4 linked regions of the Pelodiscus sinensis genome follow. The main gene of each other region encodes a partner of the protein of the gene in region 2 in a complex. Links are inferred from orthologs where the notes say so. Each region holds a gene or a part of one and is shown on either strand. Other genes may lie near its edges. The genes, in order: NUP153, NUP214, NUP85 and NUP93.

Region 1 (6,962 bases), on a different chromosome or scaffold from region 2:
TTTACATAAATGCTTCAATACTAAGGAAGTTAAAACAGTTAACAGATTACAAGATAACACTTAACCAGTTAATGGTTTTATCCTCAGTCCCAACTCCTGACCCCACTGTGAGGTCCCACTATGACGGTGGAATCCCACCACCTTGCCTACTAGCCCCCTCCAGGGCCAAGGATGTTCCAGTCTGACGCGGCTATCGCTGAAATTAATTGGCAAAGGCTGGTTAACTAATAAGCATACCATTAAGCCTCATTCTTATCACTTAACCATTGAACATCCCTATTCAATACTATACTTAGACATGAAGAAATTCATTTTCCTGTTTAGATGTCATTAAATTACTAAAGCAGTAGTCCTCAACCAGAGGTCCAAAGCTCCTTGAAGGGACAGAAGCAGGTTTGAAGGGCTCCGCCAAGCAGGGCAATCATTAAACTCACTGGGTCCAGGGACAAAAAGCTAAAACCCAACCACCCAAGCCCCACCACCCAAACATTAACATGAAACTTGAACAGCTTAGCTTCGCAGGCCCCATCACATGAGGCTCTGGGCAACTGCCCTGGTTGCTACCCCCCAAATAACAGCCCTAGCTTTTATATGAAATAGAACCCACACAATTGTTGTGACATAGGTAGGCTGTAGAGTTTATACAGCATATTTGGGGGGAGGCCTCAGAAACGAAAAGATTGAGAACCCCTGTCCTAGAGCTTCAGGGACAGGTGCATAACAGTGTTATGCAATTGTACATGTATACTTAATTTTTTTAAAATAATAATTCCTTTCTATTATTTTAAGAAATAGCAGCTTATGAAATTTATGTAATATAGCTCTTCACTGTATATGAAAACAGAACATAACTGAACTTCCTAGCTTTTCAGATTACTTGTTAAATAATGTATTAACCTAGTTTTTGCATTCATGTATAAATACATATATACCTACACAGATAAGATCTGTACAATAGATAAATATACAAGTACCTTAAAACACCTAGGAGCAAACACAATAATAATGAAAGACCTATTTTGCCTGTCCTCAACCAATCCCACCTAGTTTCTGGATTTTTGTTTGCCGAAAAATTCCCACTAATACAAAGTGCTGTAATATATAAACAAGTTGTGTTCTTTAGCCACCATTTCAGCAAGACTTGGAAAACCAATTAAAATAGTTTTTAATATTATTACCACCCACAATGTGCTAACAACAGAGATATATGGAATGGCAGTACTAGAAAAATTTATAGTGAGGGGTTGAAGCTTATGAACTTGTAGCCTACTGAAATGATCACAAGGACAAATAACCACACACTACCCCTACAAAGTGGCTTGTAAGAAGGACAAATAACCACATACTGCCCCTACAAAGTGGCTTGTAAGATATTTTGAAATTTGTAGATGAAAGAATTGGCTAGTTTGATTTTGAAGACATTCAAATATCAAAATTCACTGCATTATAACTAAATACCTATTTAAGCTAATGTCATCTAGTAGTTTGCCCTGATTGTGTATAAAGTTTATCCCACAGTAAACCCAAATTATTCCTGCTGATGTATAAATACCTTTTGGCAATCTGAGCCAGAAAGCAACCAGTAAGTTGTAGTAAATTGGGTAGTATAGAAAAAGAGCGTAGCTATATCACCCCAAAGGCTAAGAAGTATAACAGGGTGGGCATCAAAAAGTTTACATCTTGGGAAAGTCTGCAGCCTACACCCGCTCGTCTGTGTGACAGGAAACGAACTCCAGATTTTTCCTTCCAGTGCTTTTATTTCCCCCCCACCCACACCGACAAAACTGTCTGAGGCAAATTGAGACGGGGTGAATTCACACATGGCACCAACTGCTAAACACGTTTCCTCTTCCCTCCCGTGACCCCTCCCAGCTTCACCAAAAAAAAAGGCAGGAAATCCCTAAAACATCCACACACGCACACACCCCGCGCGCGCTCCCAAGGGAAATCCCTCAAACTCCTCCCCGCTGCCCGAGAGGAAACCCCCGCACATGGACACACACCCCCAGCCCCGGGGAAAAGCCCCCTCCCACACACACGCACATCCCGCCTCGCAGGAACCCCCCCCCCCCCAGCCTCACTCGTCCCTCCACCCCGAGCCGCGGCTCCTCACACGCCCCCAGCGCCCTCCCGCCACGCAGCGCCCCGCGCCGGCCCGATCCTCCACTCGCCCCACCGCTGCCCACTCCCAGCCCCACACCACGTGGGGCCTGCAGAGCCCGGGGATGCTTCACCCCGCCCGGCGGCTCCCAGACCCCGCGGGCCGCTGTGAGTCAAAGCCCCCGCCTGGGCCTGGCAGAGCGGCGCGGCCCGGCCCATCCTCTCACCTGCTTGTTTCTCGGGTAGGGCTTCGAGGCGCCCAGGTGGTACCGCCGGGTCCGGATCTTCCCCCCGCCGCCGCCGCCGCCGCCCCCGCCCGAGGCCATGCTGGGATCCGGCCCCCCGGCGCAGAGCGGGCCCGGCCCCCGCTCGCTCCTCTTTCCCCCCGCGGCCCGGCCGCGCCGCCCGCGCCCTCTTCCTCTCTGTGCTGTCACTGTCTCTATGGCGATGCCCCCGCCGCGCGCCGCGAGGCCTGTCTCGCGGGCTCCGGGGCCTCACGCGCTCGCTGCTGCCGGCTCCGTCCCGCCCGCGCCGCGGCCGAGTCCGTGCACCCCTCCCCCCTCCCCGTCCGACCAACCACACAGCGCCCGCCCGGGCGCGTCGCGTCACTAACTCGCGCACTTCGGGATGCGTCATCCTGACGCGACTTTCCCCAGGAGCGTTCCCTGCCTCGAACGCACATGGGAAGTGTAGTTTCGGGGAGCGCAGAGGCTGGCGCGGGGCAGGGAGGAGGAGGTAGTTGGAGACCGAGCCCGGCTCAGGCTCTGCGTGGTTTTCCTGAAGCTGATCGCAGCGGGCATTGAGCAAAAACCCCCTCACAGGTTGCAGAGAAAATCCTGAAGGCAAATAAGCAGGACAGCCCCCCCGTATCGTCCTTTAGATCTTGCGATTTTCAAGGCTTGGTCATGATTTATTGAGCGCCCGACCTCTCTGTGGTAGGCTTCCGAACACGTGGGAAAGGAGTCACGTCTGCTACTAGACCCTAACAGCCTTGGCTCATAAACCAATTATTTGGGGGCTAGATTCTGGTTGGTGTTATAAAACCCGCCACAGTGCAAAGGGAGGGGCGGAGTTATGGGTGGTGCCGGGCAGAGCAAGGACCACGGAAAGGCACATGATGTACTAACGGAAATAAGTCCTTTACAAGTGACACACAAGAGTCAGCACTATTTCTAGGTGAAGCCAGACCTGTAAGGTGTAGTAAAAATGTAGTCACGCAAGTTATATAAATTGTAATAAAAACAAACCAAAAAGTGTCAAAGAGGTGCTTAAAACAAGCCAATGAAGTGATTCTGATTTATATCCACGATTGCTCTGGTCCATTATACTTACAAATATGTGAAATAGGGTGTAAAATATAAAAATATCATTCCAGCTAGCTTTATAGAGAAGATATTGCCCTACAAATTGCCTTCATTGACTTGTGAAAGAATCAATCATTTCTGACAGTCATTAATTTCATTTGTTTCTCTCTCCAATATGGGAGATGGATTGCTATACTTTACACAGTAGCCTGAATCTAAATAAGTAACAAACAAAAAGGCTGGGCTAGCTATGGAGGTTTTAGTGACCAAATTCTTCACCAGATTTGTAGTTCCAGGTAATCAGCAAACAGATGAAGGGGGAAATTTAGAATCAAAAGTATTACAACAGTTTTATGAAATTCTGGGATTCATAAGACTCACATCTTATGGGAGAAGGTGGAATAGGCCAAAAAGGATTAAGCAAACTATCTTTTTAGAAAAGTATCAAATTGGCCATAACCAAGCATATATTCTTTTGACAGCCTATAAAATAGCAGTCAATGAAAGTACAAAATATATCCCAATTCACTTCATATTATGATAAACTGAAGACCCCGGGAAACATCTTCTGCAGAGTTTCTGGGAAGGAACAAAGAAATTTGTATCACTTGAACTATAGAGATATTCCACAGCCCCAAACTGAAAATGCCCACATTTCCTTGGGAAAATCTGAAAGCATTTGAAAATTAAAAAACTTTAACAAACAGTTCATATGGGAAAACATTTTTGGGAGGACCTAATAGATTCCACAGTCTTGGTAGGAGCCCTAAAACTGAATTAACTTTGGGAGGGATTCTCTACAACATTGACAAAGATAATTGAAGTGGTGAATAATGTAGTTGGATCCCAAAACTAAGCCCCAAATTATCCCTAAGGCTCATCTCAGGAGGTACAAGAGAGCCAGAATTCCAACTAGGCTATCCTCAGCTTTGGCTCAGAACACTGTTTAGATGAGGCTGAAAGACCATGAGATGCCCTATTAAAACAAAATGGGCAAAGTCCTTCATGGTCACAGCCTTCAGACATCAGAGAAACAATGGACACACGGCAGGAGTCAATAAAAAGCAGCCCTTCCAAACTGCTGAAAGAAAATCAAGAGAGCAATAGGAAAAAAAATTAAATCAGGTGTGGAAGACATGGAAAAATCCAGACAGAAAGAATGTTACTAAAATAATTTACTGGCATTGCCTATAATAAAGGTTAGGCTAGAACAAGCTGGGAATGATGTGAAGATAATGGGACAAGAAGCCAAGCAAGAGAGAGCTGTGTGGGACAGTGGAAAAGAGTTGTTCCTTGTCTGTTAGCAGGTTCCACAGAAAGAGTGGAAACCCTACAGGAGTTCTCATCACAGCTTAAGTATGTTGTGCACAGGTATAAAATCAAGTTGAAATAAAAACTCTCTACATCAACATTTTCTAACTTGGATATCAACATTCAGAGACTTATGCACCTCCCCATCCCTTTTGCAGAGCAGTGTCCTCTCCCTTCTCCTACCCTGCATCAGTTCCTCTTTCCCAATTGCCCTTTCTTCTTTCTAAATTATTCACAATCTCTGTCTTCAACCCCCATCCACCCAGCTCCACCCTACCCCCAAGTCTTTACACTTCCAAAATCCACTCACACACAAACACTTATAGGGGCTCATTTACTATTTGCACAAACAGACTTCTGAACAAGGAGAAAAACTTACTAACATTTCTACACTAGTCTCCAAGGAGAAACTGATCATCTGTGCTTTCCCCAGCTAGGATGGTGGGACACACTGACAGGTGTATGTGCTCCACATCTAGATCCAGAGATCCTGTTTTTCCTTCCTCCATCTTGGGGAGGGAGGTTGCAAAAGCATTTTGCTTTTTTGTATGAGTAAATTACAGTTTGACCATGATCAGGCCAGTCTCAGCATGCAGGCTACAGGGTAAAGCCAAATCCAAGAACCTAAAGGGAAAGTGACAGAAGCTACTAGTTAAATTCTTTGCATAGTTGCTTACAAACCTACAAGAGAACTGGGACTGTTTCAACCCAGGAATGAAAACTCAACAGTAGGGAGCAGCAATCTGCAGGAGACAAAATCTTGCATCCACTATGAAGACTCAGTATTTTTGAGGGATAGCTGCATAGATTGTTGGAGAAACAACATTGGCTTGCCAGCTGTCTACACTGGCCACTTGAATTTCCGCAAGAACACTGACCATCTCATGTAAGAAATCAGTGCTTCTTGCGGAAATACTATGCTGCTCCTGTTCGGGCAAAAGTCCTTTTGCGCAAAAGGGCCAATGTAGACAGCTCAAATTTGTTTTGCACAAAAAACCCCCATCGTGAAAATAGCGATTGGGGCTTTTTTGCGCAAAAACGCATCTAGAGTGGCATGAACGCTTTTCCGCAAAAAGTGCTTTTGCGGAAAAGGGTCCATGCCAATCTAGACGCTCTTTTCCGCAAATGCTTTTAATGGAAAACTTTTCCGTTAAAAGCATTTGCAGAAAATCATGCCAGTCTAGACGTAGCCCACTATGTTATAGCACTTTTGCTGACCCAAGACCTTAGCGACTGCTAGTATAAGTTAATAATCATAAAATTAAATAATTTTGGGGGGCAAAGATTGTCTGACAAATGTGTTTATACAGTGCTTAGCATGCCTAGCACTGCTCTTACTGGAAGGATCAGAAGAAAACAAAGGGTGATTAGGGCCACTCCTTCATATCACAGGAGCCTTCTGCAAAACAATGGGAGAAAGGGGCAAATGGCCCAATGGACAGTACTTTCATGAAGCTCATGGTGCCATGGGCAGAAGCCACACCTTCAAAGAAACTATTCACTGCCTTTCTTCTCCCTCCACCTGGTTCTGTCCACTACCTAGTCCCAATGTTCTCCTTTCCCACAGTGCACTCAGCTCCAGGGCAGGAGACCCTAAGTAGCTTCAAGGGGCTCCTGGACAATAGATACATAGGCCCTTGAAGTGGCACTTCCCTGCCCTGATGCTAAGTGCTAAACATGGGGGGCAAGATGGAGGGAGGGGAAAGAGGCACATTCTTCAGAAGTCCCAATCCAAAATAGCCCTAGTCTCATCCTCCTGCCATCTGGGAACTCCCCCACAGCAACCCCAGCTCCTCTTTCCAACACAAGTAGTGCAGGACAGTTTTCCAGCCAGTTTTCCAGCCAGTTAGTAACTCACCAAATTGAAAAGGAAGAGCAGCAGTAGCCACTGCCCCAGGGCAAAACCTGTAGAGCCTAAGGCCAGGTCTACACTAGTGGGCAAAGTCAAACTAAAGTATGCAATTCCATCTCTGTGAACAGCATTGCTGGAGTCAACGTACTTTAATTTGACTTACCACAGCATCCCCACTGAGGAGAGTCAACAGGAAAAACTCTCTCAACTTCCCTTACTTCTCATGACCCAGTGGAGTATTGGAGTCAACAGGAGCATGATCAGTGGTCGATTTAGCATGTCCTTACTACACCTGCAAGCCAGGCCACCACTTCCCACACCTCCCATTGGCCAGGAACATTGAATCACATCAACTGATTGCTGCAGGGCTCTATGCCTGCAGACACTCAGTAAAC
Region 2 (7,965 bases):
AAGGATATTTTCATAAATTATCTATTAATAGGTGGGCCATGGACCTCACTTAGCACTTTAATATTGGTGAAGTAAATAATGAAGAATAGGAAAGACTGTTATTAATCTCATGAAACACTATCACCACAATCTGAAACAGGTGCTTTTTGAAATCTCTCTCTGGGACGTCTAACTGAAGAAAGACTAAGACATTTATTTCTTCTTTATCTACTTTATAGCCAGAGCACCAAGTTATTTTCAAGCATCTTTTTAAAAGTATTTCTCTATCAGGTGGCCTAAAATGGACACTGTTCTTTTCACTGTTTCCAAAAATAAACTAGGAAGTCACCGTTTTAATTCCTGACAGGTATTTTTTTTTCAAAAGTCTGATAATCCATAATATACTTATCATTAATAGACAGCATTTGGAGAACATGTAGACTTCCCTAGAAAGTAGCAAAACATTTTCCACTTAAAAAAAAAAGAAAAAAAGACTGTGCATAATGACTAGTACAGTCATTACAGTGATCGCATAAGGGACAATGTTAACTTAAAAGTGGTATATGTATCTGAATATATTTTACCTGCTATTACAGTAATATACTTAAAACTTCCTACCTGCTCCTGTCCTGGACCTACACCGCTCCTGAAAGCAGCTGGCATGTACAGCAATGGCTCCATGTGCTGTCCTTCATCTATAGGCACTGAGCCCATAGCTTCTACTGGCCCCAGTTCCCCATTACAGGCAGTCCCCGGGTTACATGGATCTGACTTACATCGGATCCCTACTTACAAACGGGGTGAGGCAACCCCGCCCTAGCTGCTTCCCCCCAGCAGACCAGGGAGACGCGAAGCTAGCGCCCCCCCAGCAGACCATGGAGACGCGGAGCGGCTTTTCTCAGCAGACACCTCAGCTTGAGAATAAAGGACTGAGGGAAGTGAGGTGTGGGAGAATAAAACTGAGTTCTGGAGAAATGTTTGGCTAGAGTTTCCCCTACGATATGTACCAGTTCCGACTTACATACAAATTCAACTTAAGAACAAACCTACAGTCCCTATCTTGTACGTAACCCAGGGACTGTCTGTACTGATCAATGGGAGCTGCAGGATTGGTGTCTGCAGGCAAGGACAGAACGTGAAGATCCCCTGCTCTACCTTTCTCATGCACTGCAGGGACATGCCAGTCACTCCCAGGAGCAGCAGTTACCATAGGGATAATTACTCCAGCCATGACAGGTTAGGCATTTTAGAACTCACTACTCAAATAATTAAATTTAAGCATAAGAAAGAAATGAAAAGTATGAAATACACAAACCTGTCAAAAACCAAAAACAACATACTTTGCATGCAGTAAAAGAAGTAAAAACAACCCACATATGTGTTGAGTGGGGAGAGAGTGAAGGACAGTTTGTGTTTGTGAGTGACAGACACACACAGTGTTTTTTTTAAATTGTATCCTTTTTTTTTAAATTGTATCCTTTGGTATATATGGTTGTGACTATTTTCTTCCATTATTTGATCTGAGGAAGTGGGTCTGGCCCATGAAAGCTCATCATCTAATAAACCATCTTGTTAGTCTTTAAAGTGCTACATAGACCTGTATTTTGTTTCAGCTACACCAGACTAACACGGCTACATTTCTACCAGTGTGAGAGAGTGAGAGATTTGCATTGACAAGCTCACTCCATCTCTTCTCTGTGTAGAGATAGGATACAGAAGTGGGTGGGAGAAGGAACACCCTGACATCAGCATCCCCCCCCCCTCCCTCCCACATCCTGCACAGCAAGCAGGCGACTCCCAGGGGGCAGCTACAAGGCAGAGGGCATGAGCAGCATGATAGTGGGTGGAGGGGCAATTGAAGTGCCAGAGCGTGATAGCTTCCTGGCCAAACCAGTCAGGATCACCTGTCAAAGGCTCCAAGATCTACTTGTTTGGTGACCACTGCAGTACAAAAAGATTCCCCTCCTTCTTCCCCCTTCTCGAACGTTTACTTTGTGTATTTGACAATAGTTTGCATGTGATCACACCCCCTTGTTGTTTGCATAGAGTTTTGCATCACCAGAAACATAAGGGAAAAAAAGTGTGATTATAAATCACAAAAGCTTTAAGTTACATATAAACGCTGACTGCTTGCAATAAGAATTTAATGGTAACATCTTTACTATGCAGAAAACTTAAAATTCCTTTTGTGATTACAGTCTCACTCCCCAATTCAGACTCCCTTTTGTGTCGAGACCCCCTTTTGAAAAATGCTGGTCTCCCCTGTGAAATCTGTGTAGTACATTCTAAAAACACACAACACACCAGATTTCAAGGTCTGACATGTTTTTCATGGCCATGAATTTGGTAGGGCCCCAGTAACTGTGGCACCTAACATTCCACACCTAACAGCCTGATTTTTTGTAGTGATATGAGCACTCACTAGGATGACCAGACCTTCTATCCCAGCTCTGTCCCCCCGGCCCACAGCCCCTTCCCCCCCAATCCCGCTATCCCAGCTCCCGGCCCACAGCCCCTTCCCCCCCAATCCCGTTATCCCAGCTCAGTTCCCCCGACCCCCGGCCCACAGCCCCTTCCCCCCCAATCCCGCTATCCCAGCTCCATCCCCCCGGCCCCTTCCCCCTCAATCCCGCTATCCCAGCTCCCGGCCCACAGCCCCCTCCCCCTCAATCCCGCTATCCCAGCCCCGCCCCCCCGGCCCACAGCCCCTCCCCCCTCAATCCCGCTATCCCAGCTCCCGGCCCACAGCCCCGTCCCCCGGGACACCGCCCCCCCCACCCAGCTCGCTGACCCCCGAAACTCCCTCATACAACGCCTAGTGCCCCCAAGGCAGGGTACTCCCCCCGTGTCCCCTCAACCCCCCCGCCCATACCTTCATCTCCCGCTCGGGGACCACATCCATATCGTCCCCCATAGCTCCGGCTCAGCCCGTCGCCAACCGCCTGCGCAGGGCTCTGAGGAGCGTTTCCGCTTCCGGCGGCCATCAAGTCTACTCTAGCCGCAGCGCTCTATGGCAGCGCCGCTGGCTCGTGGAGGACCGAGGAAGACACTACGGTAAGACTGTAGGGCGGGGCCTAATGCCAGGGGGCGGGAGCTTTGACGAGGGGGCGTGGCCAAAGGAGGATGGGGCGTGGTAGCTCTTCAGGGCAGTGACTAGTTTGTATAGCACCTAATAGACGGGGGGGGGGGGGGGGCTGCCCCATCATTGGGGCTTCTAGGAGCAACATCAATAAGCAATTCAAACTTGGATCACAGTCAGCACTAGGACATGGATGTAGCTGAATTGTCAGTTTGTAATTTTTTTTTACCTTCTTTCCCTCTGTTATAAAATGGTCATGCCTGTTCACTTTCAGAATAGGATCTGAAGTGGGTCCACCCCACGAAAGCTCATCACCTAATAAACTATTTTGTTAGTCTTTAAAGTGCTACATGACTTTTTTTGTTTTGTTTTACCATGTATTTTCAGAGGCAGGATACAGTTGCCTATAGATGACAATGCTCCTAATAGCAGGAGTCCCCTCTAGTCATCCTACCAGGGATCCAGCCAGTCTGGAAGGCTACTGTTCCTGTTACCCAATTGGTCGTGTTATATTTGCTACACGGCAGTAAATCACCAACATCAACCTTGGGGCAAGCTAGTTATTCCAGTGCTGCCAACTCTCACATTACTTGGTGTTTCAGTTAAAGCCCCAGCTCCTGGAGTCATTATTACATGAGACTTTCAGGTTCTTTTAAAGAATAACAAGCAAATGTCCAACCCTCCTCGTTTTGGGGATGGAAGTGAGGTGTATCTGACCTAAGTGTAGCCTAAAGGCTCAGAAATTGGAAGGGCAGAAACCCCACAGATTTATGTTTTAAGAATTTCATGATTTTTAAGACACTCATGAGTTTGAAGTCTTGGTTTACCATATGCAATGATCAGTATGCACACAGCATACATAAACAGCAGTCAATGCTGCTGCCAGAGTAGTCTATCCTAACATAATTACCATGACAGTGTAGGGCTCTGCATTGTGGGGCTAGATCCACTTTCTGCATTTCAAAGAAAGGAATTCCACATTCCTTGTATGAATGGTCTCCAAGTGAAACATGAAAGTACTATAAATCTCATTTTAAAATATCAGTTTCTGGTTATAGAGAAGCCAGTTAATGTGGCTTCATGTTTACAATTGAACTGCTTAATTTCATTTCCTCCACTGCAGCATGTAACTAATACCCTTTGATGGCATTAGCAATTACTATTACTCTATAGTGGGATTATTAGACCCTTTAAACAAAGCTAAATAGCCACTGCCATTGTGTATGTCAGACTGGACAGGCATGCACACACCAACAAATGAAGGGCAAACAGCAGCATTACTCAAGCAATCCCATGAGACAGCTAGTCTATGAGGGTATGTCTACACTACCCCGCTAGTTCGAACTAGCAGGGTAATGTAGGCATACCGCAATTGCAAATGAAGCCCGGGATTTGAATTTCCCGGGCTTCATTTGCATAAGCGGGGCGCTGCCATTTTTAAATGCCCGCTCGTTCGAACCCCGTGCCACGAGGAGTAACGGTAGTTCAAACTAGGAAGCCTAGTTCGAACTACCTAGTTCGTGCCGCGTGTAGCCGCGCGGCACGGGGTTCGAATGAGCGGGGATTTAAAAATGGCGGCGCCCCGCTTATGCAAATGAAGCCCAGGAAATTCAAATCCCGGGCTTCATTTGCAATTGCGGTATGCCTACATTACCCCGCTAATTCGAACTAGCAGGGTAGTGTAGACATACCCAGAGAGAGCACCTGCCATTAGATCCCTGGAAAAGATAAAAATACTTGTATTTGTAATATCACTCAAATGGATATTCTAGAGCACGAGTAGGCAATTATTTTTTATGCGGGGGGGGGGCGCAATCCAAGATATTGGTAAGTGGTCAAGTGCTTCATTTTTCTGTGGAGATGTGGGGTCTTGGACAGAGGTTGGGTGCAGAAGGGAACTCAGTGTAAGAGACTGGGGTACAGAAGAGGGTCATAGAATCATAGAACCATAGAGCTGAAAGAGACCTCAGGAGGTCATCAAGTCCAGCCCCCTGCTCTAGGCAGGACCAATCCCAACTAGATCAACTGAGCCAGGGCTTTGTCAAGCCGAGACTTAAACACCTCTAGGGATGGAGACTCCACTACTTCCCTAGGTAACCCATTCCAGTGCTTCACCACTCTCCTAGTGAAATAGTTTTTCCTAATATCCAACCTAGATCTCCCCCCACTTGTAATTTGAGACCATTGTTCCTTGTTCTGCCATCTGTCACTACTGAGAACAGCCTCTCTCCATCCTCTTTGGAACCTCCATTCAGGAAGTTGAAGGCTGCTGTCAAATCCCCCCTCACTCTTCTCTTCTGCAGACTAAACAGACCCAACTCCCTCAGGTTCTCCTCATAGATCATATGCTCCAGCCCCCTAATCATTTTAGTGCTGGGTCTCAGAGGGAGTTTGGGTGAAGGAGAAGGTTGTGACTTGGGGTATAAGTGCAGGAAAGGATTCTGACCTGGAGGAATAGTGTGAGAGGGGGTGCAGGCTCTGGGAGGGAGTTGGGGTGCGAGAAAGGGGGGGTACCACAGACAGGCTCTGGGTGGGAGGCGCTTACCTAACCAGCTCCTGGCCAGCAGCACTCTCAGGCAGGCTCCCCAGCCTGCCAGCAGCCCCGGACCATCGAGAGTGGCTAGCTGTTCCATGTGGATCTCTGCACTTTATGGGGAGCAGGCGGGGGGGAGGCTGTGTGTGCTGCACTGCCCCCACCCCAGCACAATCTCTCAGTTCCCACAGGCTAGTTTAATGCAATTTATATTATCTGAAGTATGCAAGGATGTGTCACACAGTGAACGATACATTCTGACCTTGCACTGGCCCCAGTGAGGTGTATACATTCTTTAGGGAGGCTGCTAGCAAGGCCTCATCCACATTTCTGACTATGCTGGGGCAAAAGGGGTTTACCACTTGATTTGAGTGACAGGAAATCTACCTGTCATCCACTGGAATGATGAAGCGCAGTCCCACTTGTATAATTCTTTTTGGAAACTCACTGATGGTTTGGCCAATCCATTGTTAAAGTGAAGATGAAGAAGAAGAGTCTTGCTGCTTCTGCCAGACACATGTGCATGTCAAACAGTGACCCTGAAGTAAGCGAGCAGCCAGGAACCAGTGAATGCTTGATTTTAAAAACCCCTTCCTTTGCCCTGTTTGATTCAAACATTGAAGCCTTTGGCTGAAATGGTTTACAGCTATCTTATCCTGATGTAATTTAAGTGCCTATTCAGGGATTTGCACCCCTTTAACTAAAATGATTTGAAAACTAAGGCCACATCTATACTTACTGGTGGATCGATGCTCCAGAGGTTGATTTTCTGGTGTTCAATTTAGCAGGTCTAGTATAGATCCATAAATTGAGGACAGCTCCAGCCAGCACCTGTACTCCTTGCAACTGCAAGGAGTAAGGGAAGCTGACAGGAGCTCCACCTGTGTGGATGCAGAAACGCACTTTAAAATATGTCAACTCCAGCTACATAATTAACATAGCTGGAGTTGCGTATCTTAATTCAACCTCCTGCTGTAGTATAGACTAGGCCTAAGGTTTTAGATCACATGGAACAACTTGAGTTTAGACAGGGATATTGAGTAGCAGTATTAAATACACTGATGCCTCACATAAATGTCAGAAGATTTATTTTCAGTCTGTACAAATAGAGCTGTGCTGCTCTCATCCACAATCTCTCTCTCCATTACAATTCTAAATTCTCATACAAACAAGAACAGCAAGACACTTAAAAAGGGCAGCCTTTGGCAGGCACAATAAGACTAGTTAGAGTTCAAACAATAAATTGGGTATCTGTTTTTTTTTTTAATTTAAACCATGATTTAAAAACCACAAAGTTAAAAGCTGCCAAGGACAAACAAAAAACCCAGAGGGAGAGGGAAGAAACATGATAAGCAATTAAATCCCAGAGGCAAACAACTGGGTTCCAAGAGTTGTAAATACAGAGTACACAGCAGTGTCCAAAGCACAGTCCAGCTAAGTCTCAGTCCTGGGATCCTGGGGAGTCTTTCCCTACCCCCAAAAGGGAGAGACAAGATCCCTGGTTCCCATTAAAAAAAAAAAGGCAAAAAAAACCCCCCAACCCTTTCATGTGTTCCATTTTGTCACGGAATAGTCCCACTGAAGTCAAATGACTCCTCATATGAGTAAATTCAAGCATATAAGAAATATGTTTGTTGAACAAGGCCTAATTTGGGAGATTTTGAGGGCATTAATACAAACAGACTCATCCAGAATTCATTCTGGTCCAGCTTAAGGACTCAGACTGGAGTTCCGTTTCCTACACCTACAGATTCAGCATATCCCAGGCCTTTTCTGTGAAAATTGAAAGCAAAATAGCTGGGCTCATTCTCCCACCATCCCCAGAATTTCAGGTGCAAGATAACAGCTTTTGGAACTGGCCGTTAAAACAGGATTTAGTCTAGGGAAATTGACCAGATTGGTCACTGGAGAAGAGGGAGTCTGCAAGCTTCAGAAGCCAACCACTTATTCACATTACAAGGAAAACAAACCCAATATATTATGTAGTTTTCATTTTAACTATATAAATATAAGCAGACAATGAATTGACAGCTTCTACCACAGATGACAGAACAGAATAGTTTCTCTAGCTTCTAAAAAGGAGACCACAGTGGCAAGGACTTATTGATCCAAGAGGGACCCTCCAGGGGACTTTGCTGTCTGTCTTGCACCAGTCACAGGTGGAAGTTCTTTATCATCTTCCGGTTGGAGGCCTGCGATTGTGATCGTGAGGGCAATTCTTGCCCATTTTTAGACTGCTTGTGACATGCACTTGGGGCTTAATCTTACACCTTGGGCAGGCAAAATAAAGGTGGATGTCAGTGTCTTAGAACTGCAAGTCAGAGGGGGGAAATCCAGGCCTCATTAGAAAGTCAACAACAAAATTCCCATTGAT
Region 3 (7,173 bases), on a different chromosome or scaffold from region 2:
CTTAAATGGAGAACAATAACTTACTAGCCAACTGGTGCATCTCCTCCATACAAGCTCTTATGACTGAACGGTAGTTTTTACTCACTAGAACCAATCTGTGAAGAATACAAAAATCTTGTTTAGAGAGATTTATTTATTGTTAGTCTTGTGCCTACAGGATAGTAGGGCCCCAATCCTACAAGTTTCTCTGAAGAGGCAGATCTCTCCTGCACTGTACTGAAGTCAGTGGGGCTCTACACAGGCATAGAGGTCTATTTGCAGGATTGGGGCCAAATTTTGTAAAATGGTAACAGGAAAAATTAGTTACACAATATTACTGAGACTCACCAGCTAAGAGAATTTCAGTTTCATTATTCCACTCATTGGAGAAAGATTTATATGTTTGGTAGAGGAAGGGGAACAATATACTGGTCATTTTCTGCACAGAATAATTATTGTATCACCTTACCTCACATTCTAACAAGACAATCTGTAAAAGGCATAGGGGATTTGCTCTCCTACCTCGTATCTACAGATGAGGCAGTAGAGATCAACAGTAAAGGAGAGTGGGCACAAATAAAAGGAACAATCAAGATATTCTTTATTAAATTCAGTCAATGAACAAAGGTATATACTGTATGAATTGTACCTTTGGTAACTCACAAACTTACCAACCTAACAAGATGCACAGATGCAACACTATTTGAGAAACAGATCTGACGGAACTATTCCCAACCTGCCTTCGCCCTCCACTATTAAGTGGCACATCTAAATTATGCCTCACTACTGATCTCCATGGGGAACAGGGAAGCAGACATGTTCTCTTTTTGTTTCAACAGTATCTAGCATTTCTGTTTACTCACTGTGCCTTCTTTGACTTCCCAGCCAATTCTTCCTCACTCTTCTGTAGTCCAACAAAAATCCCATGGGATTCATTGAAGAGTTTGCGTAATGTCTGTGAGTACACATCTTGATCTTTGCGAACAATGAAAATATTGGGGCAGCCTAGCCCTTTCTCTTCACGTCCTGAAATGAAGCATGTAAACCATAAAATAGCCAAATGAATGCTATGGCTCTGCAGAATCTCAGTCCTATTGGATAGTAATATACTTCTGTACTTACAGTAATGGTTCTTAACATATTAACTGGAAATTTATTTGGTAAAAAGTCTAGGAGTCAGCACAAAAATAGGACAAGAGGCACAAAACTATTAATAAAATATCAGACCCTCTGTAATATTCAATTCCACAAAATTCCTTAATAATTTGCATGTGATAATGAAAATTCAAATCTGCTCAATATAATTCCTAAGTCTGATCATGTATGCTTACTGTGACTGAATGTATGAGTCTAATGTGCACAAATGTGACTGAATTCTTCACCCAGCTCTTAGCTGTTTAACAGTGTTGCTAACTCTCACATCATTTGGTGGTGTTCTTGAAGCCTCAACTCCTAGAATCAAATGACCGGCCAAGAAGTTTCTAGCTCTCGTTGCAAAATAAAACTTGAAAAACATGATCTGAACGTACACCAAATTCTTTAAAAGGCAATAAAAAGAACCCCACGCTTATTTTCAAATATCTCATTTTAAGCTAATTTATTTTGGGATCTAATTTACAGTTTCTGAACACTAGGGCTACGTCTACACTGGCCCCTTTTCCGGAAGGGGCATGTTAATTTCACCTATCGTAGTAGGGAAATCCGCGGGGGATTTAAATATCCCCCGCGGCATTTAAATAAAAATGTCCGCCGCTTTTTTCCGGCTTTTAAAAAAGCCGGAAAAGAGCGTCTACACTGGCCCCGATCCTCCGGAAAAAGCGCCCTTTTCCAGAGGCTCTTATTCCTACTAGGAATAAGAGCCTCCGGAAAAGGGTGCTTTTTCCGGAGGATCGGGGCCAGTGTAGACGCTCTTTTCCGGCTTTTTTAAAAGCCGGAAAAAAGCGGCGGACATTTTTATTTAAATGCCGCGGGGGATATTTAAATCCCCCGCGGATTTCCCTACTACGATAGGTGAAATTAACATGCCCCTTCCGGAAAAGGGGCCAGTGTAGACGTAGCCTAGAGGTTGTCAATACTCCAGTTTGCTCTGCATTAATATTTAGTAAAATCCACCCAAGACAAGCATTCAAAAATGAAAGAGAAGCTATCCACCTTTTGGGAACAAAGTTTCACACACCAGCATCTCTCCAGGTCCCCAGTCAAAACACATCTGCTTCCGATTGGAGTCCACTCCAGGAATCAGCTGTTAGGAAAGAAGGCAGAGGGACTATCAAGCATGTGGCTGCTCTCTATGACAACAGAGCAAGCAAGCGGGATTCCTTTTCCTCTTTCAGAGTATGTCTCCCTTGCAGCCTCCCAATTTCAGTCCACAAGCTTGTGGTAGTGGGGCCCACAGTAGCAAACTCAAATTAGCTGTTTAGTGTTGCAGCCCGCATTCTTAACCCCAGGAGAGGATGGGGTGGGTTTGAGAGCCATAATGTAAAAGCAATATCTACAAAGTCATTTTTAGCACACTAGGGCAAGGCCCCATTAGCACAAGTCTATCTAACCAAGCTGGGATGCTTGCTCCCAGATACAAGAGAGATGCCCTCAGTTTGCCCATCTGTAAAACGGGGATAATGATCCTACCCTCTCTTGTAGAGCACTAGGTACTGCGCTAATGATCATTGCATTTTTTTTTTTTTGCGCGGGGGACTCATCTGTGCTAACAAAGGGAGATAATCAGTAATGCACAGGTACGGGGGAGGGGCCGAAGTGAGGCACAACAGCTCCCTGCCCCGCACAGCCGCGCCCCTCTCCCCGCAGGCCCCCCCTCGCCTGTTCCCTCCCCCGCCCCAGAGCTTCTGGCAGGGGGAGGAGGGTCCAGCCTCCCCAGAGGTAGGGACTCGCTCTGCCGTACAGTGACCGCCGGCTCCACATCCAGCTCCTCCATGCCACCAGCGCGCTCTCCAGGCCGGGGCCGGACAGCGGAAGCGAAGCAGCTCTGCCGCCACCACAGGCCGCCTGCACTCAGGGCGCCAGGCAGAGAGAGAGGCCCCTAGTTCGGAGCTGACTACTGCGGTGCCTGCACAAATCTACGCCACCTGGGCCACATTGCTGCAGCTGCGCTTCTCGACTAGCTCCTTAGGAAGGGGGGGAATTGCGTGTGTTGGAAAGGGTGAGGGTAAGTTCTCCCTTTTGGGGCTTTTATGTTGAAATGGGGGGCAGGCGCTCAATAGACAGCCCGATGGCGCAACGAGCGCTGGAAGGACCCCGCGAAGCTATATAAGCGGGAGAGGCGGCCCGAGTCAATGCATTCGGAGGGGTGGGGGTGGGTTGGGCTTCATTGGGTTGGGTTCTTTGCTCGTCCCTCCCTAACGCTGGCGGCTCGGCTCAGCTGCTCGCGGGGTGGCGGTGTCGCTGGCTGTGGGGCGCCCTCACGTTGCCCATCAGGCTGGAGCGGCAGCCCCTGGGGCGTTGCTCTAGTCCCGGGGGAGGGCGGTGCAATGGCTCTCGCGGGTGGGCTCAGGCGGTGTCATGCTCAGTCCAAACAGCCTGTGGCAACATCATGCTGGTGTGTAGGGATCCAGAAATAAGGGGGTGGGAGAGTTGTGCTAGCAGAGCTGGAGGGCTCTCCCACTGCTGGCCTCTCTTCCTTCCAGCTGCATAGGTGGGGATGATGGCATACATTGGTGTAATGGAGCAACTGCTTAACCTGCTCCATACCTGGATTCATGCTGTAGGTGGTAAATTCTGCACACAGATATAGGTATTTGAGTCTCTGAGTGTTAAGTGACAGATGATGAAGGGAAAGCTGAAGTACTCAATGCTTTCTTTGCCTCTGTATTCGCAGACAAGGTGGGCTCCCAGACTAATGCGCTAAGTGATGCAAGATGGGATGAAGATGGACAGCCCGTGGTGGGTAAAAAACAGGTTAGGAACTATTTAGAAAAGCTAAATGTACTCAAATCCATGGGTCCGGAGTTAATGCATCTGAGGGTACTGAGGTAGTTGGCAAATGTCATTGAGGAGCCTTTGGCCATTATCTTTGAAAAGTCATGGAGGTTGGGAGAAATCATGGATGATTGGAAAAAGGCAATTGTAGGGCCCATCTTCAAAAAAGGGAAGAAGGACGATCCAGAGAACTATAGGCCAGTCAGTCTTACCTCGGTTCCTGGAAAAATCACGGAAAGGATCCTTAAGGAATCCATTTGAAGCACTTGGAAGAGAGGAAAGTGGTTAGGAATAGTCAGCATGGATTCACAAAGGGCAAGTCGTGTCTGACCAATCTGATTAGCTTCTATGAAGAGGTAACTGGCTCTGTGGATGTGGGAAAGTCAGTGGATGTGATGTACCTTGACTTTAGCAAGGCTTTTGATATGGACTCCTACAATATTCTTGACAGCAAGTTAAGGGAATGTAGATTGGCTAAATGGATGGTAAGATGGATAGAAAGATGGCTAGAAGTCCGGGCCCAGCGGGTAGTGATCAACGGCTCGATGTCCGGATGGTGTTCGGTTTCTAGTGGAGTGCCCCAAGCTTTGGTTTTAGGACCGGTTTTGTTCAATATCTTTATTAATGACCTGGGTGAGGGGATGGATTGCAGCCTCAGCAAGTTTGCGGATGATCCTAAGCTAGGGGGAGAGGTAGATATGCTTGAGGGCAGAGATAGGGTCCAGAGTGACTTAGACAAATTGGAGGATTGGGCTACAAGAAATCTGATGAGGTTCAACAAGGAGAAGTGGAGAGTCCTGCACTTGGGACAGAAGAATCCCAAGCATAGTTACAAGCTGGGGACCAACCAGTTTAGTAGTTCTGCAGAAGAGGACCTGGGGGTTACAGTGGATGAGAAGCTGGATATGAGTCAACAGTGTGCCCTTGTAGCCAAGAAGGCTAATGGCATATTAGGTTGCATTGAGAGGAGTATTGCCAGCAGATCCAGAGATGTCATTATTCCCCTTTATTCGACTTTGGTGAGGCCACATCTGGAGTACTGTGTCCAGTTCTGGGCCCCCCACTACAAAAAGGATGTGGACGCATTGGAGAGGGTCCAGCGGAGGGCAACCAAAATGATTAGGGGGCTGGAGCACATTACTTTTGAGGAGAGGCTGAGGGAGTTGGGTCTGTTTAGTCTGCAGAAGAGAAGAGTGAGGGGGAATTTGATAGCAGCCTTCAACTTCCTGAAGGGAGGTTCCAAAGAGAATGGAGGCTGTTCTCAGTAGTGACAGATGGCAGAACAAGGAGCAATGGTCTCAAGTTGTGGTGGGAGAGGTCCAAGTTGGATATTAGGAAAAACTATTTCACTAGGAGGATAGTGAAGTACTGGAATGGGTTAACTAGGGAAGGAGTGGAGTCTGCATCCCTAGAGGTGTTTAAGACTCGGCTTGACAAAGCCCTGGCTGGGTTGATTTAGTTGGGATTGGTCCTGCCTAGAGTGGGGGGCTGGACTTGACCTTCTGAGGTCTCTTTCAGCTCTATGGTTCTATGATTCTAAGGTAGAGTGTAGTCCTCCATCCCTTGCTACCCTGTACTATGGACAGGCCTCCCCATTTATGATCATAACAGGGGCTGATAACAGGGAGTTGAGAGGGAGTTTGGAAAAAAAAAATCTTACCGTTCTTAAAAAATCTTTTCACTAAACTATTATCAAAACTTCCTAAGCTCTGGTGGGCCTTCAGGGGTTGATTGCATCAGAGGCAAGGCTTTGAGACAGGCCTAGCCTCAGCCTTCTTAAAAAGGCAGCCAGAGCAAACGCAGAGAGCAGCAGCCAACCTGGGAGTTGGCCTGGGAATTCACCCTAGGAGACCCCCATAGTGTTTAGTGCTCTTTTCCTTGAATTTTTTTTTCTTTTCTCTCTCCTGCCCTTCAAGGAGGCATTTAATAACATCTGAGGATACTCTCAGAAGGAAGGCAGGTATGGATGGTGATAGGTCTGCTGTTGTTACCTGCACAGCATGTGCCATGTTAGTCTTCCTCCCGGAAGAAAGAATGGATTTCATCTGCTCTAAGTGCAAGCTGGTCACCATTTTAGAAGAAAAAATTAGAGGACTTGAAGCCTAGGTATCAACCCTACATTCTATCAGAAAGGATGAAGACTTCCTTGATAGAAGGCAGCATTTAATCCTGCAGGCACAGCAGGCTGAAGAGCCAGTCAGGGCAGTACAGGACAAGGAAGAAAACTGGCACCATGTCATCTCTAGAAGGAGAAAGCCAACTCAGGTATCCCCCATTCCTGTAGAGGTAAGTAACTGCTTTCAGGCTTTCTTCACAGCACTGCGGTGGAGAATGCTTTGGCAGGGATCTCTCAGGGAAGAAATTAGAAGAGAACACCATCTACCAGAAGGCATGGGATGCCTCGTCCGAGGGATGGGGGTTCCACGACTACCACCCCCAAAAGAAAACAGGTGGTGGTGGTTGGGGACTCCCTCCTAAGGAGGACTGAGTCATCCATCTGTCGTCCAGACCTGCAATCTCGAGAAGTGTGCTGCTTACTGGGAGCTTGCATTCAGGATGTGACCAAGAGACTTCCGAAAGTGATTAAACATTCGGATCGCTACCCATTCCTGCTTCTCCATGTAGGAACTAACAATATGGCCAAGAATGACTTTGAGCGGGTCACAGCAGATTATGTAGTGCTGGGAAGAAGGATAAAGGAATTTGAAGTGCAAGTTGTGTTCGCCTCCATCCTCCCAGTTGAAGGAAAAGGTCTGGGTAGGGATCATCAAATTGAGGAAGTAAATGTGTGGTTGCACAGGTGGTGTCAGAGGGCTTTGGTTTCTTAGACCATGGGACTCTGTTCTGGGCACAAGGATTGTTAGGAAGAGATGGGATCCACCTAACCAAGAGAGGAAAGAGCATCTTCATGGGTAGGCTTGCAAATCTAGTGAGGAGGGCTTTAAACTAGGTTCATTGGGAGACGGTGACCAAAGCCCTGAGGTAAGTGAGGAAGTCGGACACTGGGAAGAATCACAAGGAGGAACGAGCAACAAAGGAGGACCCCTCTTTTAGATGGAGAAAGCAAGGCGATCAGCTGGTTATCTAAGGTTTTTGTACACCAATGCGAGAAACCTGGAAAACAAACAAGAAGAATTAGAAGCCCTGACCCACTCAAAGAACTATGATTTGATTGGAATCACAGAGATAAGGTGGGATGACTATACCCTTCCATGACAGTGCTCCAGTCATGCTAAACTGTTCAGGAAGAACAGGCGGGGG
Region 4 (7,217 bases), on a different chromosome or scaffold from region 2:
TCGATCTGGCCAGCGGTGGCCTGCTACTCCCCCAACCCACAAGCCAATCAGGGCCTGCAGGAGGGGGAGAAGTGGGCAGTCTCCTCTCACCCTGCAAGGGGTGCGGCACTTCTGCAAGGAGCGTGGAGCATTTAGGACAGGGGCAAAGTGGGAGGAGACTTCACGCAGTTCCCCCCTCCCCCAGGCCAATCAGGGATTAGAGGCAAGGGGAGCACGTGAAGTTTCCTCCTGCCATGCAAGGGGCTCAGTACTTAAAGTCAACTGCCAGCTGCTGCTCCCTTGCAGGGTGCGAGCAGGGAACAAGAGACTTCACATGCTCCCACTCCCCAGGCCCTGACTGACCTGGGGGCAGCAGGGGGAAGCATGCAAAGTCTACTCTCACTGCCACAGGCACAGGTACCTAGAGGGAACTGCCATTCTCTCCGGGGGGAGGGGAACTTTGCACAATCCCCCATCCCCAGACCAAGCAGGGTCTATGGGTGGGAAAGCACAGAAGTGTCCTAGCCCCACTCCTTCTACCTGAGGCCCCATCCTTTCCTGGGTGGCCTAGGGCTACTTCAAAAGTTTCTGAAGTGGCCCCTGGCCAAAAATTATTGCCCATCCCTGCCATAATGCCAGCCCTGGGTTTTATACCTGAAAACCAATTGTTGTAGCCCAAGTGAGCCATGGAGTTTGTATAGCATATTGGGGGAAGGAAAGGCTCTGAAAGAAAAAGATTGAGGACCGCAATCTAGGTGGACCGCCTATCCATCACAGATCACCACCACCCATCTGAACACTAAATTCAACAACCAAAACTATGCCAAAGTATTGCAGCCCACAGGTGACTAGACTGTTAAGTGCCTTAGGCAGTGAATAGCAAGGACACAAATGCAGGAAAATGATTGTGAGATATACCCAGATAAATGTGACAAGTGACCCCACCATGCACTCATGCTGCAGGAGCAAAACCCTACCAAGTTAATTGCCAATTTGAGTTGAGGAACAATTCTTTCCCTCTCCCCCACATACGGCCATTAGTATGACCCCACAGATATGAGCAAGAATCAGCCACAAAGTGTAGGGTTCACCAGCAGAACTGAACCGGGGACCCCTGGAGCTTAGACCAACTGGCTTTCAGCTGAGGCAGTAGAGCACACTCAATCTTTCTCTCTAAGCATCTAAGTGCAGCACACCCAGTAGGTGTGTGGGTTACACAAGCAGCCAGCAGACAGAAAACAGGACTACATAGCGCTTTAAAGACTAACAAGATGGTTTATTAGACCCACTTGGGTCTGGCCCTAGAAAGCTCATCACGTTAGACTAACCATCTTGTTAGTCTTTAAAGTGCTACATAGTCCTGTTTTTTGTTTCAGCTACACCAGACTAACCCGGCTCCATCTCTATCACTAGTCTACCAGCAGACAGAGTACTCCGCAAGGCCTCCCATTCCACCTACTTACATTCCCAAATGGCGTTTCAATTAGATCCCAGACTTTTCCTCCAGATCCCTGTCCTACGTGCCTATGTAGTGCTGCGCTGCAGCATTAAGCAGAGGCTACAATAAACCAGCCCAATCCAGGCCGCATGAAGAAACCCCTGGGTACTCCGGGCCCAAACAGGTGCCAAGCACTGTGGGCGGGACTCTCTGGGGAACCAGGCGCCCGTGTGGAGGGGTGCTTAGCTCCCTCGGGCAAGGCGCCGGACGGAGACACTGGAGACACGCCCGGCTACGCCGCAGCCCGGTCACCGGGCAGGACACATCCCGCGCGGGCGGCGGGGCAGGCGGAGCCGGTTCCGGCGGGGAAGGGGCGGACACGCCAGAGGAGCCTGGCATCGCCCCGCGGGCCGCCCCCATCCCCTGAGGCGCGGCCGAGGGGCTAAGGAACGAGCCCAAGGCCACCGGACCGAGGAGCGCCCCTGGCACAGTCCCCGGGCGCCCCCGTGGGCCCAGGGCCCCTCGCCAGGCCGGCACCGCCGGGGGCGGGGTGGGGGTAGCCGCGAGCACGAGGCGCCCCCGCCCGCCGGCCTGAGCTCGCGCCTACCTGCCGCCTCCTTCCGCTGCGGGAGCCGCTGTCTCCGCGCCGGGCGCGCTGATTGGAGGAAGCGCCGCTCCCCCAGCGGCCCCCGCGCCACTGACGTCAGCTCAGCTTGGTTGAAACGCTTAGCGAGGGATTCGGACCCGGGGGCGCCGGGCCCAGCGTGGGGTCCCTGGAGCGTCGGGCCCAGCGTGGGGTCCCCGGGGGCGCCGGGAGCCGGGCCCAGCGTGGGGTCCCTGGGGGGCAGCGGGCGCCGGGCCCAGCGTGGGGTCCCCGGGGCGCCGGGCCCAGCGTGGGGTCCCCGGGGGCGTCGGGAGCCGGGCCCAGCGTGGGGTCCCTGGGGGGCAGCGGGCGCCGGGCCCAGCGTGGGGTCCCTGGGGGGCAGCGGGCGCCGGGCCCAGAGTGGGGTCCCTGGGGGGCAGCGGGCGCCGGGCCCAGAGTGGGGTCCCTGGGGGGCAGCGGGCGCCGGGCCCAGAGTGGGGTCCCTGGTGGGCAGCGGGCGTCGGGCCCAGAGTGGGGTCCCTGGGGGCCGGGCGAGGTGGGGAAATCCCTAGTGGTGCGGGGTGTGTAGGGGCCATTGGCCAGAGCCCAGCGGGAACCTAGTAGGAGCGGATCCATCCGCACCTCGGCAATTGAGGCAGCTGGTGCCCTGGCCTAGGCCCCGCTCCATCGCATCCGTGCTGGGGCTGGGCAGGGGGCCCAGCTGCCTGAGGTTGCCTGGGGCCTGGCACTGCAGAAACAGCTGAACGCACCGCTCTCAAGCCCGCTGTGCGCTCCGCCTGCCCTGCACCAGAACGAGCCTGGGATGGGAAGAGCCCGCACGTGGCGAAATTAACTAAGCAAGGCGGGTAGGAGGCGCGATCGCTGCCTGAGCAGGGGGCTGATGGCCTTGCCTGCGGTCACTAGGCCAGGGCCACTGGATCCGGCCCGCGGGCCCCCCTGCCGGGACCCCCCCAGGCACGTAGCACAGAGCTCAGTCCCCGCTTCTCTCCGCTCTGCAGGGAGGGGGAAGCGTCCTGCCATCTCCCCGCCCCCAGCCCAAGCCTTAGTTCCGATTGGCCAGAAACAACCGGCCAATAGGAACTGACCCCGGCAATCTCTGAGCTCCTATTGGCTGGAAACAACCAGCCAATAAGATCTGAGAGATTGGAGGATGGGAGCCCCGCAAATCTCTTTCCCCTCCCAGAGCTGAGCGCCACGTGGTGTTTGCAGCTTGCCGTTGTCAGTCATTTGGGGCTGCAGCAGGCAGGGAGCCCAGCCTCTGGCACCCCTGTGCCTCCTATACATACTCCAACTCCCCAGGTCACCATCCTAACCCTCTGCACCCCCCTGCCTCAGGACACAATTCTCTCCCAGACCCTGTACCCCCCTATACCCACCCCCAGGCCAGAATCCTCTCCTGCACCCCAACACCCTCCCAGACCCTGCACCCCATTCCCCTGCCCCAAGTCACTACCCACACCCGGTATAGCCTGCATCCCCTTTTCCCCTTCTCCCAGGTCACAGCTCCCTCCCAGACTTTGCACCCCCACCTCGGCTACACTGTCTACACTGGCAGGTGCAAGAACACATCCACACTGCCATGTGCTTTTGCGCAAGAGCACCCATGGCAGTGTGGACGCTCTCTTGTACAAGAAAGCTCTGATGGCAATTTTAGCCATAGGGCTTTCTCGTGCAAGAAACCCCTGCTGCGCCTCCACGCTGCCCTCTTGCACAAGAGAGCTTCTTGTGCAAGAAGTCCTCTCTTACCACACTTTACTGTAAACCTTCTTGTGCAAGAGCAGGCGAGCAGTATGGATGCTCTACAGAAGAATGGCCATTCTTGCGCAAGAACCCGCCAGTGTAGACATAGCTCTAGTGCCCCTCTCTCAGGCCAGAACCCTCTCCTGCACCCATACCCCTCGCTGACCCTATCCCCAAACCCAGGTCACAACTCCCTCTTTTGCCCAAACTTCCTCTCAGACCTCACACTGTCTCCTGCACCTCAGTCCCTTACCCTCTGTGCCCAACCTCCATCCTGGACCTTGTATGCCCTCCACAGAAAAGTGTGGCCCTTCACCGCTTTCCAAAATCTCGAAGTGGCCCCCCCTCCAAAAATTATTGCTCACCCACGCACTAGGCAGACAAGGAGCATGGGTCCCTCTGCCTTATAGCCGTGTGCTGCAGTGACAGCAATGGAGTTACTCCTGATTTATGCCCACCATGCCCTGTGCTGTGTGCTGCTATAGCATTTACCTATGCCAACAGAAGGGATTCTCTGGTCTGGGGAGTTGCTGGATCACACGACTGGCAGAAGGATTTGGTTCCTAGTTTCTAGTTCAGTTTGGTATGGGGGTAAGAATTAACAAAAATGTCCCATTTATACACTTTTCAGCTGTATGTATGGCCACATTCCAGAGGGCTGCTGCAGAGCGATGTAAATTAACCACAGGCATTCAAAGGATGGGCAACTGTGGTACAATCACCACCCTACAGCTCAAGATTACTACTAGGGAATTGAGCAACTTTGTTTTACAGTTAGGACTCTTAAGCCCTGATCTACAGTAAGAAGTTATTTTAAAATAACCCTCTTTATTTTGAAATAATAAGCGAAACATCCATACTACCAAGCCTATTATTTCAAAACAATGGCCTGGTTATTTCAAAATCTGTATTGCTTTCCTCGAAGAATAATGGTTATTTCAAAATAGCGTTACTGTGGACACTCCACTGCTGCTATTTCAAAATAACTGCTCCCTAAAGTCATTCAAAGTAATATTCCCCAGTGCTTCCTGGGGCTCAAAGTTGAGGTATCATGTCCACAACAATGGAGCCTGCCTTATACTAATTTCAAGACTCCCCTGTAGTGGGGACACTTTGGTTTTATTTCAGAAGTTATTATTTTGAATTTAGTTATTTTGAAATAATCTCCTAGTGCAGACATACCCTAAGGAAGCTGTACTAGCTAAGGCTACTGAAGAGAATCACTGATTTAGTCGTCTGCCCCATCCATGCCCACTTCCTAGCTGGTGCTACCCACTTGGTGGGCTGTGGAAATTCCCTTAGAAAACCCCTAAGGTTAGAAATCTATTTCTGACCCTACAGCCTGGCTGATTTCAGGGAAGGACTTTTTCCAACATAACCCCATCCTGAATTTCTTCTGTAAACATCTTCCTTTAGAATACATAAGTTTATGGCATCCAGGCATAATAATTGTTTCATTTAACAATGTGAAAATTAATGATGCCCCTCTTGTGCCATGTGGAATCACAAATACATCAAATTGCCACACAAGGGGCTACGTCTAGATTGCATCCCTTTTTCGTAAAAGGGATGCAAATTAGACGTATCGCAATTGCTAATGAAGCGGGGATTTAAATCTCCCCCGCTTCATTAGCATAAAAATGGCTGCTGCTTTTTTTTCGGCACGGAGCTTTGCTGGAAAAAAGCGCCAGTCTAGACGTGGATCTTTCGGAAAATAAAGCCTTTTCCGAAAGATCCCTTATCCCTCTTAAAATAAGGGATCTTTCGGAAAAGGCTTTATTTTCCGAAAGATCTGCATCTAGACTGGCGCTTTTTTCCGGCAAAGCTCCGTGCTGAAAAAAAGCGGCAGCCATTTTGATGCTAATGAAGCGGGGGAGATTTAAATCCCTGCTTCATTAGCAATTGCGATACGTCTAATTTGCATCCCTTTTACGAAAAAGGGATGCAATCTAGACATAGCCAAGGGAGTATAAGAAAGTGATTGCTTCCCCCTTTCTCTCTCCAGATATGCACTACTTGCCAACGCTAACAAATCCTCTTCATGAGCAGATTCTCCCAGTCTCATTTTACTAGTTTTGGCTGCTGCCGGAGGGTTAAATAGCTAAAGATGCTGCCTGTTTGAAGGCTTTTAAGTGCTTTTGTTGAAAGATCAGCAACATTATTTAAAAGGCAGCCAGAGAACAGCTGTCCTTCCCTCCTGCCTCATAGTTTTTTACCTTGCCATCTGGATTTGTTTCATGCTGTCTGCCTCACTGGTGACATGGAGCTGCGTGATCGTCTGGTGTCTGACATTCATAATACCAGCATCAGACACTGGCCTTCAAGGACACTGGATCCAGCATCCTACTTCAAAATACCAACTGTCTACCATAAAGATAGTAGAGGGAGGATTTTTTTCTTAATATGTTTTCTTTTTTCTGCAGTCCTTTAAAGTTTCTATAGTGCACAATAGTGATTTGCAAAATTACAGGAAACACAAGGAATACACAGAGATTCCCTGCCCTTGGCTTGGGCATAAGATTGTTCTTCCATCCAATTTGATTAGGAAGAAAGAATTCCAGGTTGGGGTTTGGTTAATAGCTCCCATTTCCTGCAAGATGCAACCAAGACTCCAAGCCATTAGTATGGACTAAATTGGCACAGATTTGTAAGGTGACAGTGTGGGTTCAAAAAGGCTCCCTCCTTGCATCCCAGCATAGGGACTATTCAGTTATTGAAATCCCTGGATCTGATCCTGCAAGGCCTGATGAAATGCATAATGGAATACTCAAGGAGCTGGTTGAGGAGATATCTGAGCGATTAACTGTCATCTTTGAAAAGTCATGGAAGATTTCAGAAGACTGGAAAAGGACAAATATAGTGTCCATCTATAAAAAGGGAAATAAGGCAACCCAGGGAACTCCAGACCAATCAGCTTAACTACTGTACTAGAAAAGAAAATGAAGCAAATAATTAAGGAATCCATTTGCAAACATCTAGAAGATAAAAAGGTAGTAAGTAACAGGAAGCATGGATTTGCAAAAAGAACAAATCATGTTAAACCAACCTGATAGCTTTCTTTGATAGGATAACAAGCTTTGTGGATAAGGGGGAAGTGGTAGATGTGGTATAACTAGACTTTAGTGAAGCATTTAATACAGTCTTGAATGACCTTCTCATTAATAAACTAGGGAAATACAATCTAGATGTGGCTACTATAAGGTGGGTGCGTAACTGGTTGGATAGCCATTCCCAGTGAGTAGTTATCAATGGTTCACAGTCATGCTGGAAGGGTATACCGAGTGGGATTTCACAAGGATCAGTTTTGGAACCAGTGCAATATCTTTATCAAGTAAGATATTGGTATAGAGAGGACACTTATTAAGTTTGCAGATGATACCAAGTTGGGAGGAGTTGCAAGTGCTTTGGATGGCACGACTATAATTCAAAATGATCTGGACAAACTGGAGAAATGGT

Evidence for each region.
Region 1: NUP214 (region 2) and NUP153 share a complex: the UniProt entries of both Homo sapiens proteins name them as parts of the nuclear pore complex. The link is inferred for Pelodiscus sinensis from reciprocal best matches to the Homo sapiens genes NUP214 and NUP153.
Region 3: NUP214 (region 2) and NUP85 share a complex: the UniProt entries of both Homo sapiens proteins name them as parts of the nuclear pore complex. The link is inferred for Pelodiscus sinensis from reciprocal best matches to the Homo sapiens genes NUP214 and NUP85.
Region 4: NUP214 (region 2) and NUP93 share a complex: the UniProt entries of both Homo sapiens proteins name them as parts of the nuclear pore complex. The link is inferred for Pelodiscus sinensis from reciprocal best matches to the Homo sapiens genes NUP214 and NUP93.

What each region holds. Positions count from the first base shown.
Region 1 is NC_134712.1:108,543,966-108,550,927, forward strand, and holds the start of NUP153 (nuclear pore complex protein Nup153), read right to left. Parts: upstream 3,016-6,962; 5' UTR 2,901-3,015; coding exon 2,781-2,900; intron 2,653-2,780; exon of another isoform or gene 2,427-2,652; coding exon of another isoform or gene 2,328-2,426; intron 1-2,327. UniProt on the Homo sapiens protein: Component of the nuclear pore complex (NPC), a complex required for the trafficking across the nuclear envelope. Functions as a scaffolding element in the nuclear phase of the NPC essential for normal nucleocytoplasmic transport of proteins and mRNAs.
Region 2 is NC_134732.1:14,188,118-14,196,082, reverse strand, and holds the start of NUP214 (nuclear pore complex protein Nup214), read right to left. Parts: upstream 3,008-7,965; 5' UTR 2,894-3,007; coding exon 2,852-2,893; intron 1-2,851. UniProt on the Homo sapiens protein: Part of the nuclear pore complex. Has a critical role in nucleocytoplasmic transport.
Region 3 is NC_134730.1:12,413,172-12,420,344, forward strand, and holds the start of NUP85 (nuclear pore complex protein Nup85), read right to left. Parts: upstream 3,012-7,173; 5' UTR 2,912-3,011; coding exon 2,879-2,911; intron 2,222-2,878; coding exon 2,131-2,221; intron 1,006-2,130; coding exon 843-1,005; intron 96-842; coding exon 25-95; intron 1-24. UniProt on the Homo sapiens protein: Essential component of the nuclear pore complex (NPC) that seems to be required for NPC assembly and maintenance. As part of the NPC Nup107-160 subcomplex plays a role in RNA export and in tethering NUP96/Nup98 and NUP153 to the nucleus.
Region 4 is NC_134722.1:43,933,504-43,940,720, forward strand, and holds the start of NUP93 (nuclear pore complex protein Nup93), read right to left. Parts: upstream 3,017-7,217; 5' UTR 2,912-3,016; intron 2,178-2,911; exon of another isoform or gene 2,025-2,177; intron 1,779-2,024; exon of another isoform or gene 1,443-1,778; intron 1-1,442. UniProt on the Homo sapiens protein: Plays a role in the nuclear pore complex (NPC) assembly and/or maintenance. May anchor nucleoporins, but not NUP153 and TPR, to the NPC. During renal development, regulates podocyte migration and proliferation through SMAD4 signaling.